2 linked regions of the Cricetulus griseus genome follow. The main gene of each other region encodes a partner of the protein of the gene in region 2 in a complex. Links are inferred from orthologs where the notes say so. Each region holds a gene or a part of one and is shown on either strand. Other genes may lie near its edges.

Evidence for each region. Proteins that work in one complex are often made in the same cells at the same time.
Region 1: Med25 (region 2) and Med19 share a complex: the UniProt entries of both Homo sapiens proteins name them as parts of the mediator complex. The link is inferred for Cricetulus griseus from reciprocal best matches to the Homo sapiens genes MED25 and MED19.

The regions. Positions count from the first base shown.
Region 1 is NC_048599.1:90,843,942-90,850,255, reverse strand, and holds the end of Med19 (mediator of RNA polymerase II transcription subunit 19), read left to right. Parts: intron 1-2,022; coding exon 2,023-2,279; intron 2,280-2,409; coding exon 2,410-2,506; intron 2,507-2,978; coding exon 2,979-3,073; intron 3,074-3,937; coding exon 3,938-4,006; 3' UTR 4,007-4,835; downstream 4,836-6,314. UniProt on the Homo sapiens protein: Component of the Mediator complex, a coactivator involved in the regulated transcription of nearly all RNA polymerase II-dependent genes.
Region 2 is NC_048599.1:153,713,754-153,719,433, reverse strand, and holds part of Med25 (mediator of RNA polymerase II transcription subunit 25), read left to right. Parts: intron 1-218; coding exon 219-326; intron 327-1,795; coding exon 1,796-1,984; intron 1,985-2,278; coding exon 2,279-2,350; intron 2,351-2,451; coding exon 2,452-2,670; intron 2,671-2,805; coding exon 2,806-2,986; intron 2,987-3,403; coding exon of another isoform or gene 3,404-3,501; exon of another isoform or gene 3,502-3,533; intron 3,534-4,662; coding exon 4,663-4,928; 3' UTR 4,929-5,680. UniProt on the Homo sapiens protein: Component of the Mediator complex, a coactivator involved in the regulated transcription of nearly all RNA polymerase II-dependent genes.

The DNA.
Region 1 (6,314 bases), about 63 Mb from region 2:
GTGAATAAGAAACCATCTCTGCCCTCAAGGGCTCACAGTTCAGAACCTGAACTTTCCCAAGTAAATGATCATAAACAAGCCACTTTATCTATATGTTGTCATAATTATCAGTGAGGTTGTAAGTTAAACATTTCTATTCTATTTGGTCTTATTTTAGCATATTTCTATTCTTTTCAAAAAAGAAAAAAGAAAAAAGCCAGCCACTAAATATGTTGATAGAGCATGTACAATTTTGTTTTAAATCAATGAGCCTTGAAAATAATGAAATGGAAGGCTGGCGAGATAACCAAGTGGTTAAGAGCACTGGCTGCTCTTCCAAAGGACCAGGTTCAGTTCCCAGCACCCGCATTACAGCTGGCAACTGTCTAACTCCATTTCCAGGAGATGCCAATGCACATAAAATAAAATTTTAAAAATAATGAAATGCAAAACTATTATCTCATTACCTAGATAAAAGGAAACAATGGCAGAGAGGACAGCTAGTATTAGAGTTCTAGTTGCTCATGTTGAGTAGTTCTTTCTAGGTAATACTTGGTATCATAAAGAATAAACATGTTGGTCACAAGGTAATCATAACCACAAAATCTGTTTGCCTATGGTGACTAGTCTTCCTGTTTAAAAAAAAAGAATGCAAAGCATGGTGGCACTTACCTGTAACACCAGCACTCAGGAGGCTAAGGCAGGAAGTTGCCACAAGTTTGAGGTGAGCTAGAACTACCTAGCAAGATACTGTCTCAATATGTAAATACACTGCCAACAGAGGGCCCCTGACAAGACCCTCATGTCACTGCATCAAATTTGACTTTTAGAGTATCTGTAACTAAACTTCAAGGTTCCATTATCCTGATCCAGGCAGAAATGTTTCTGAGACATTTTATATAAAGTGGAATAATACATGAATCAGTGTCATGTAAGTTATTCTAGCTAGTCTGGTTTTGTTTTGTTTTCAGTTTTTATATGCCCTACTTTGCTTCATTCCATTTCCATTCCTCTAGCCCATAGTATAGTATTTTGTGTTTATTATGTATTACTGAGTTGAGGGTGTTTGAGACAGGAACTTACTATATATAGCCCAAGCTGGCCTTAAATGCAACTGTCTTGCATCAGCCTTCTTGAGTGCTGGCATTGCAGGCTTACAGGTATGCACCACCATACCTGGCTATCATATTATTACAGGGTTAGTGTCTGTTACCTAAAATGCTTATCTAAAATGTTTCAAATTTGCAGTTTTTCAGAATATATGCATAATTTTACTAGGTTAAAAATCCCAAATTCAGAAATGTGAAGTCTGGAATGCTTCAGAATTTTGACACTTTTTGAATCCTATAATTGTTGAGTAAGGATAGCACCCATAGGCTCATTTATTTGAATGTTTATTGTCACCAGAGAGTGAAACTCCTTGAATAGATTAGAAGGATTAGGAGGTGTGGCCTTATTGGAGGAAGTGTGTGCTTTGAGGTTTCAAAAGCCCATGCCAGGTCTAGGCTCTCTCTTTCTGCCTGTGGATTATTAGTAGGTAACTGTCAACTCCTTCAGCACCATGCTGCCATCGTGCTACCCACTATGATGATAATGAATTAAGCCTCTGAAACTATAAGCAAGCCCCCAATTAAGTGCTTTCTCACAATTATAAGAGTTGCTGTGGTAATGTCTCTTCACAGCACTAGAACAGTGACTAAGACAATAGTTTGTGTTTTTTGATAGATTCCTCATTAATATTAAACTATAGTCTTTCGTGGGGCTGGAGAGTTAGGAGATAACTCAATAGTTAGGAGTATAGGCTACCCTTGACCCAGGTTCAGTTCCTAGGGCAGCTCACAACTATCCCCAGTTCTAGGGGATTCAGCTCCCTCTTCTGATGTCTGCAGGCACCAGACACACACATGGTACACATGTATATATGTAGGCAAATAAACATACAGATAAAACCAAAACATTGTTTTTTCCTTCAATTCCTTCTGGGTTGGTGACAAAAAAATTATCATCTGCTTTTAGTATAACTTTATTATTGCTGTTTTCTAGGCAGCACAGAGCTGACGGGCAGCACCAATTTAATCACACACTACAACCTGGAACAAGCCTATAATAAGTTCTGTGGGAAGAAAGTGAAGGAGAAGCTAAGTAACTTCCTGCCTGACCTGCCAGGGATGATTGATCTCCCTGGCTCCCATGACAACAGCAGCCTCCGCTCCCTCATTGAGAAGCCTCCTATTCTCAGTAGCTCTTTTAATCCAATCACAGGGACCATGCTGTCTGGTTTCCGCCTCCATACTGGCCCGGTAAGTCCCTTCTTGGGGAGGAAGAAAACAAGTGGGGAGGCCTCAAAAGCATGGAGGTAGTTTTATCTCCAAGTCTAGAAGCAGGGAGTTGCTCTCTCTGCTCACCTGAACCTTCCTTTGGTACCCTCAGTTGCCAGAGCAGTGTCGACTGATGCATATTCAGCCTCCCAAGAAGAAGAATAAGCACAAGCATAAACAGAGCAGGACCCAGGATCCAGTTCCCCCAGGTAAGCACTTTTGTTCAGACCACCAAGACTCTGGCCCAAGTCTACATGGCCTTCAGTTAAGCTTAGTTCCTCTGGACTCCCAGATTTCTCCAAGAAGAAATACATGTGTTGACATTTCTTGGACAAGCAGTGACTTAGCACAGCTGCTCTGCCAGCACCTCTATATCCTTTCTGAACACGCAGAAAAAAAGCAGTTCCCCTGGTATTAGGTTTTCCTGTAGCCTTAAGAGTTCATAGCAGTAGATCTTTTTTTTTTTTTTTTTTTTTTAAACATATATTTATCATGTATACAGGGCATGCCAGAAGAGGGCACCAGATCCCATTACAGATGGTTGTGAGCCATCTGGAATTGAACTCAAGACCTCTGGGAGAAGTCAGTGCTCTTAACCCCTGAGCCATCTCTGCAGCCCATAGCAGTAGATCTTAAACTCAAATCAAACTTAAGGTTATAAGCTCTTAATGTCTCCTACAGAAACGCCATCTGATTCAGATCACAAAAAGAAGAAAAAGAAAAAAGAAGAGGATCCTGAACGGAAAAGGAAGAAGAAAGAGAAGAAAAAGAAGAAGGTAGAGGGTTGTTGTAGTAACTGGTTTTTTGTTTTAATTTATGTATATGTGTTTCTCTACACTAGTGCAATGCCCACAGAGACCAGAAAAGAGCTTCGGCCATGGAGCTGTATCACTACCACTCTATGTAGTGCTGGGAACTGTACTGGGGTTTTCTACAAGACAGTACTTGCTCATAACCAGAGCCATCTCTCCAGCCCCCATCTCACCCTTCTTAAATAGAATCCTTTGCCTCAAGTTGGACCCAAGAGCAGGGCAAATCCAGGGCAAACATTTTTCTTTTACAATCCTGGCCAAAGCTAGTTCTTTGACTTTGACTCTTTTCCTTTGAGGTAGTGTCTTAACATTGAGCCATATCTAGTCTCCTTTTAAAAATTTTTTATTTTGCTTATTTTTGGTTTTGCGAGGCAGGGTGTCTCTGTGTAGTTTTGGTTCCTGTCCTGGAACTTGCTCTTGTAAACCAGACTGGTCTCGAACTCATAGAGTGCTGGGATTAAAGGAATGCGCCACCACCTGGCTTATTTTGCTTGTTTATTGATAATTTTTGAGACAGTTTCACTGAGTTGCCCAGGTAGGCCTTGAATGTGCAGTCCTCCTAACTCTACCTCCAAAGCAACTGAGGTTACAAATCTATGTTAGCAGGCTCCATAGGTTTACTTAGGTTTTTTTTGTTGTTTTGAGACAATGGCTTGAGATGTAGCTTTGGCTGGCCTGGAATTCACTATATAGACTAGGCTGGCTTCTACCCCAGAAGATCTGCTTGCCTCTGCCTCTCTGTAGAGGGCTGGGATCAAAGGCATGTACCATATCCAGCAAGGTCATTTTTTAATTTCTAAATGTTCTTATTCCTTTTGTCTCCTCTAGAACCGACATAGTCCAGACCACCCAGGTATGGGAAGTTCCCAGGCCAGCAGCAGCAGCAGCCTCCGCTAACAGGACTACTGAACTCTGCCAAGGATGGCTTTCCTGCTGACAAAACTGTCTTCCAGGCATTGCCTTGGGATATCTAACAACTAGACAGAAGCCAGCCCCTGCTGTACTTGTGACTAATACACTTTTAGAGAAGGGCCATGCTTTTTTATGGTTTAGTCCAGTTGGCTTTTTCATAGACATACCTTTTCACAAAAAGCTGTTTTTGTTTTTTTGTCCCCCCACTTTTGTGTAATTTGATTTCAGGAGTTCATTTGTTAGGGTTTTTCTTTTTTTTTTAAAAAAAAAAAAGGTGTCTTTAACAGACTGGCTAGTATGGCTACCTTTTTAAGAGGCAAGTGTCATTCTGTATGAGGCAGTTTAAGATAAGGCACTGCTAAGACATAAAAGATTTTAGATTTTGTCATCACATTATTTCCCTAGGCCAAGAAATTCAAAATTAGAGCAGAGAACATGGTCAAAAATCAGCAGTTTGCTATAATATTTTGCCTATAATGTTCACTGCCAAGTGCCTGGATTATATTCAACCCATCAGGAAAGTTAGCCAAAGTAAGGTTTATGCCTGTGTTGATATATAACAGGGACTATTAAAAAAAAACCTCCCACCATTACCACTGTATTTTAGCAGGAGGAAAAAAAGCCTGGCCAGGCGTTGGTGGTGGCACACGCCTTTAATCCCAGCACTCGAGAGGCAGAGGCAGGAGGATCTCTGAGTTCAAAGCCAGCCTAGTCTACAGAGTGAGCTCCAGGATAGGCTCCAGCTAGCCAAGCTTATCTTTTCCCTTGTCTTTTTTTCCTGTGTGCTTTTTAAATGAATCTCTGGCAAGAAGTATAATGCTTCTCTTATTCTTTAGTTTAAGAAAAAATGGATTTAGTTGTTTGGGAAAAACAAAGTTTTTGGTTTGTTTTCTGGAACAGCATCTTACCATGTAACCCTGTCAGGCAGACTATTCGGGAACACAAGCTCAAGAGACCCACCTGCCTCTACCTCCCAAGTTCTGGGATCAAAGGCTGGCTTTTGATTTACTTTTGCTGGGCGGTGGTGGCACACACCTTTGATCCCAGCACTCAGGAGGCAGAGGCAGGCGGATCTCTCTGAGTTCGAGACCAGCCTGGTCTAAGAGCTAGTTCCAGGGCAGCCTCCAAAGCCACAGAGGAGCCCTGTCTCAAAAAACCCAAATAATAATAATAATAATTTACTTTAATGTGCATTAGTGTTTTGCCTGCATGTATGTCTGTGTGAGGGTGTCAGATCTTGGAGTTACAGATAGTTGAGAACTGCCATGTGGGTACTAGGAATTGAACCTGGGTCCTCTGGAATAGCAGTCAGTGCTTTTAACTGCTAAGCCATCTCTCCAGCCTCTACTTTCTAAAGAGGAAATAACACCAGTTCTCTAATATTTCAAAGACAGAAGTTTTTGTTATGAAAAGTTAGGTTTCTCTCACCTAGTAGGACATTTAATTTGACAGCCAGAAAAAAAGTAGACCAGAGAATGAGGCTTTCCTCTTGACTTCCCACAAGACCATTCACCTTGCCTTAACCAGATAAAACACAAGTCAGGGGGAGCTGGTTAGATCAGGATTTATTTTATTCTTTGTTGGTTTAAAATGGCTAATCAGAATAAAAAAATTAAAGGGTCTCTGTATAGAGGCTGGGGTCTTCCCTGTTTAAAGGTTAGAATCCAGCTACCCCCTCTACCCAGCACCATATTGAGGTGGGCTAAGGGGTAAACCCCAGGGGACAATTGGAGGGGCCTAGGTCTGCCACTCCTTCTCTCTATCCCATTTTTGGCATATGATGAAAAATATTGCTTTTTGGATTCTTCTCTTCTGGCCTTGGATTTTTAAGATCATTTTAACTGTAAGTAATAGGGAAGCATTGAAGAGGTCCACTAAGCCCACCACAATCCCTATCACCCAAAAATGGGGGGAGGGAGGTTGCCTGATGTTTTGTAAAGTAGATCAAGTTCTTTTCCTGATCTCCCACCACCATCATGAAACTGTGACCCCTTTCCTGGGAAAAGGATGTCAATGAGCCTAGAAAACTCTGCAAGTTCCTTTATCTGACCAAGAACCCCAGACTTACCCAGGTTTCTTTCCTAATCACTTAGCACCAGCAGAGGGTGCTATTTCCTTAGTTGATAACTGGGACAAAAGAGAGGGAACCATGGGGAAAAGGAAGACTTTAATGTCTCTTTTTCCTGCTGGTCTAAGGAAAGGGAAGAATAAAATCCCCCTCCTTATATATATATCTATATATCCCTCCCTTGTTTTCCCATCCCAGGATAGATATATAATTTCTTTGATATTT
Region 2 (5,680 bases):
TGTGTTGCCCCGAATGATGCCTGCGTTTTCCCAGACTACCCTACCTTGTGTTGCCCCGAATGATGCCTGCGTTTTCCCAGACTACCCTACCTTGTGTTGCCCCGAATGATGCCTGCGTTTTCCCAGACTACCCTACCTTGTGTTGCCCCGAATGATGCCTGCGTTTTCCCAGACTACCCTACCTTGTGTTGCCCCGAATGATGCCTGCGTTTTCCCAGACTACCCTGGGCCCTCTGTTCCGGAACTCAAGAATGGTCCAGTTTCACTTCACCAACAAGGACCTGGAGTCCCTCAAAGGCCTCTACCGCATCATGGGCAATGGCTTCGTGAGTGGCGGGCACTGACTTCCTTCCCCATCTCTGCCCACAGTCCTGCATCTAGGAGTCGCTGTCTTTCCTTGGGTGTCGTTTGTGGTGCTGCAGTTAGGGCCACATGTCCTAGCATCTGCTGTGTCCCTGTCCCGTGGGCCTGCATTTGTTGATGGTTTGAGATAAGTCTTGCTGTGTAGTAAGACCTCCACCTGGGTGTCCTCCTGCCTCGGGCTCCTGAGGGCTGTTTTGCAGCTATGTGCGGTGCAGTCCAGCCTGGCTTCTCTGGCCCTGTTCTTTCCTGTATCTCCACTTTGTTGCATAGGGCCTGCCCTCATGCCTCATATAACCTTCAGGTCAGCTCACCTTCCTGGGGGCTAGTGGGTTGGAACTTGTGTTTAGGGAAGACCCAAGTGCCTGTGTGTGCATGGGATTAGCGACAGTGACTTCTATGCCCAGAGTTTTCCCCAGGCAGAGATTGTTGATCATCATCCTCTCAGCCCTCTTTACCTCCGCTGACACTGTTGCCTGCTGTACCTCTCTCGTGTCTGTGGGTCTGCTGGGGCTGTTGTCAGGAAGGTCAGCTGGGCCAAGAACCCTCTGTGGTGTGGCTCATCTGCTGTCCTCCTCAGTGAAAACACTGAATTCTGAGGGAATGTTCCAACAAATGGCCTGTTTTTGCTGCAGGCCAGGATACAGAAGGAGAGCTCAGTGACCTCAATGCCTAGGCCTCTCACAGGCTCAAGATGGTTACCTTAGCTTTTGAGTCCCTTTAAACATTTGGAAGAGGCAATGACTTCAGGAAGCGAGAAATGTTCACAACTTCTGACCAGGCCTCCTTTTATCTGGGCCTGGCTGGGTTCCTAGGCTGCACCCCTGTAGGGGAGGACACTCCAGTATCTGGCCTGGGTGGCACTGCCTGTTCTGTGCTGGACTGGGTTAAGGAGAGGGGTGTGTTGATGCACTAGCTGCAAGTCCTGAGAAGTAAACCCAGGTAGCCAAAGCCAGTTAGTTCCCTGAGAGCCCATGGAGACTCTGAATCCCAAAATGGCATCCTTGTGATGTTGCCATTCTCTGGTCCATGCTGGAGGCCCTGGCAGAGATAGAGCCACCTTCAAGGGTCTGACCCTGACTTCCTGCCACCCTCCCCAGTGGAGCCCTGTCCAGTGTGATTTGATGAGATAACCCAGTGCTATATAGTGGGAGACATGAGGTAGAGCCACTCAGTCAGGGTCACCATGGGCTTCTGGTGTGACCTGCTGTCTCCTCGGTGGTCAGCAGGGACTTTGGTCTTGCTGTGCCCTTTGAGTGCCTGTCACTCACAATTTTTTGTTTCCAGGGCAGCTGCTGCGCCAACCTGGCCTCCCTGGCCTTGTACAGTGAGACCTCCCTACCTCTTGCCTATAAGGCTTGTAGAATTTTATAGGCTGAGGTAGGCTAGCCCATGCCTCTCGGGTAGGCTGCTTCTGAAGAGTCTCTGTCCACAGGCGGGCTGCGTGCACTTCCCGCATACAGCCCCATGCGAGGTGCGTGTGCTCATGCTCCTGTACTCATCTAAGAAAAAGATCTTCATGGGCCTCATCCCCTACGACCAGAGTGGCTTTGTCAATGGCATCCGCCAGGTCATCACCAACCACAAGCAGGTCCAGCAGCAGAAGCTGGAGCAGCAGCGAGGGGTGAGTGGTAGTGGCAAGCCAGTGTCCTCTCATAGCTCCCCAGAGCCCAGTCAGCCATAAGCCGCCTGTCTGAGTCCAATGTGCCCCTTGTGTCCTAGCAGAGCAGCTTTAGTCCCTTCTCAGTTTCCACGGCAGTCCCTGATACAGGCCTTCCTTATTGGTCAGGCAGGGTGTGATGCACCTACTAGATGGTATGTCCCCAAAGAAAGGCACCTTCCTCCTACACACCAGGTCCTCCAACAGGTTCAGACAGCCTTCCCTCACCACTGATCTGTCCTCTCTGTCCCCGTGCAGATGGGGGCACAGCAGGCACTTCCAGGCCTGGGCCCCATTCTGGAGGACCAAGCGAGGCCCCCGCAGAACCTAGTGAGGACTTGGGTGGGGACTGGTGGGATTGGGGATGGAGGTTGGGTGGAGCTAGGGCAGTTCCCTACTGCTTGTCCTTGCTCACGCTGTCTGTTCTCCAGCTCCAGCTCCGTGCACCACAGCCCCAGCCTCAGGGTGCTGTGGGGGCCTCTGTGGCTACAGGGCAGCCCCAGCCACAAGGTACTACCCAGGCCCCCACAGGAGCACCCCAGGGTCCTCCAGGAACAGCCCCCGGCCCACCACCTTCTGGACCTATCCTTCGGCCCCAGAACCCTGGGGCCAACCCCCAGTTGCGGAGCCTCCTCCTTAACCCACCACCGGTGAGGCATGGGAATAGAGCAACAGGGAATTGCAGGTTCTTACCCAGTATCTCTGGGAGGAAGGGGTGGGCTGTACCAGCAGGGCCTTTCTGGAGCACAGACTGGGCCCTCTGAGCCATTCTTTGTCTTCCCCAGCCCCAGACTGGGGTACCCCCACCCCAGGCCTCCCTCCACCACCTGCAGCCTCCAGGGGCCCCTGCACTGCTGCCTCCACCACATCAGAGCCTGGGGCAGCCCCAGCTGGGGCCACAACTCCTCCACCCTCCACCTGCCCAGTCTTGGCCCACACAGCTTCCCCAGCGGGCTCCACTGCCAGGTAAGGGTGTTCTAGGGGAGGGTAGAGGTCTAGACTGGGAGTCCTTGCAGCCACTGGCAAGGACCCCATTACCAAAGGGCCTCCCCATAGCTCTAGGGGGCTTAGAGGGCCATTGGGAAGTTTAGCCATGGGAACAATGCCTCAGTGAGTGAGAGCTTTCCATAATCCTTATATGCTGCCCTGGGATGCTGGAAGATACCTTAGGGTCAGTGATGCTGTCGGGGGAAGGGCTCCCAAAGGGTCAAAGGAAAATGTCTGCATCTAATTGGGCTTAGAAGGATCCCTGGCTCTGGTGGTCCCTGGAGCTTCCTAGAAACCTGACTGCCTTGGGTTCCCAGAAGAGGGGATGAGAGGTCCAGGGTCCTCAATGGTCCCAGGGACCACTGGGAGATGCAGTCCCTTCCCACTGCCCCCCAGGTCAGATGCTGCTGAGCGGGGGTCCCCGGGGCCCGGTCCCCCAGCCGGGCCTGCAGCCCAGCGTCATGGAGGACGACATCCTCATGGACCTCATCTGAACCCAACACCCAATAAAGTTCCTTTTAACGATTCCCGGCTCCCGTCACTGACGCCCCTAGGGCTGTCTTTGCTCTCGCCTTGCAGACTCCCCAAGGCCCCGGCTGGGTGATGCTGGGCCACGGGGGGAGTTGGAGGCAGCATGGTGAGGCCTGGTTCTGGGAGACTCAGAGGCAGGTGGGCAGATAGTGTACAGCTCATGTGCACTCAAGGGGTTACAGAGCCCAGAATGCCTCTGACCCAGCCAGGGTTCCGAGGAGCCTGGAAGGAGAAGCAGCAGTTGGGAGCCAGGAGGTACTAAGGTGCAGATAGCCAAAGCCACAGTAAAGGGACAGGCAAGGTCAGGAGGTGGATGCTCCTGGAGCATGAGCATTACAGGGAGGAGCCAGACTGGAATGCTTGAGACTTGTCCTGGGGACGCAGGACCACAGAGATCTCCAGTGGGGCTGATGTCAGAAAGGCTGGTTTGTAGGAGCAGGGCAGGCCAGAGGCAAGGTCAAAGGACTGTTCCGGTGACACATGCCACACCAGGCAGTCAGGATGTCCCCATGGGACAGTGTGCTGTGCTTGAAGCAGTAGCAATTTAGGTTCTAGTTGGAGGTGTGGGGAAGTGAGGAAGCCCCTGTCTTGCAGGGTGTTCTCAGGTTTGTCTGTAGGTGGTCTCCTTGGAGATGTTGTGAGATATTTGTCACACAGGCATATTAACTGTGAGTGTGGTCTGTGCCTGGACCACCACTGCCTGGGTCTGGGACGCTAGTTAATGTGCAGGTCACTCACTATCCCAGAAGAGAGGCTTCAGTCTAGTGGCCCGTGGGCCACCACAGATGAGTTTTGTTTGGCCTTCCCTGTGTTAGCATGTGTCACTTTTTTCCTTCCAGTTAGCTATAAAACTTAAGTGAAATTCACACACACGCACAATTGCTCCTCAACATGTCGGAAACACTGACACCCTGGGTCTACCCTTCTGCCTGGCAGTAGTAGCTGGGTTTGCCCCATCAGTGGGGCTCATGCTCTTGGGTTCGCCACAGTCCCCACCACTCTCTCTTGCTCTTCCACGGTGAGGCCAAAGCCCTGCCTCCGTCACGGGGCTGGCACCGTGGTGGTTCTGTGGTAGCATTCAGAGAAAAGTGAAATCTTTCTTGTACCCATGTCTCCTTCAAAAGTGGCCAAACGAAAGAAAGAAGGAGAGGGCCGCGTGTTTCGAGAAAAATGGGAGCGAGACTATTTCTTTGTGGAAGTGAAGAACATGCCCACGTGCTTAATATGCAAAAAAAACGTGTCAGTGCTGAAAGAGTACAACCTGAAGCGTCACTATGAGTCCCAGCACAGTAAGAGCTACGACCAGTACACAGCACAGCACCGCGACGTGGTCCTGCAGGAGCTGAAAAGGGCCCTCAGAGCCAGCGAGGCTCTGGAGAACCCGGAGTAGGAGCCACAAGTGATGTGGAGAGAACGTCCGTGTCCTGAACAGAGCTGCATCCTCAAGGCTGCCCTGTGAGTCTGACAAGCTTTTGCAGGCTGAAGTACACAGGAGTCAGAGGCCTTATGGGGTCCGGTTGCCTGACCCACAGCTGTGGCCTTTTGATGGCTGTGCAGAAACTCTGACCACATGGTTAGCTTTATTTATTTGTGGTGGTGGTGATCTCCATGCAGCTGAAGAAGTCTGTGAGGTGGCACCAAGCCAGCCCCTCACTTTGAAGTGGCTTGCTTTTGTGCATGCACACATCAGAATTCATAAGCACAACTACAACCCCATCACAGTGATCGGGCCGTCCATCATGAGGGCCATCCCTAACCTCGATCCCAAGTGGCACTGTTTGTCAAGGACCAGGGTCAGGTCCTAGCGTCAATCACCAAGGAATCCAGATGCACCACGCCGCCTTGACTCTGGCATTCCTGTCCTTGAACTGAGCCAATCGTCTGAGACTGGGATGTGCAGGAAATCCAGACTGGCCTGCTTGGTTCATTTCAAAGTGCAGAGCCATGCCCTGGTTCCCTGGAGGTCGGTTAGAAACTTCTGGTTGAGGTTCCCACCCTCTGAACACTGAATCTGTCTCAAGCAGGGATTTTCACAAACAGCTCCTGAATGTATGACTGGCGTGGTCCTGGCAGATAGATGGATGCCACTGGCACGGAACAGTGGAACTGCTAACCCTTGCTGCAGCTGGTTTCTGGAAATGA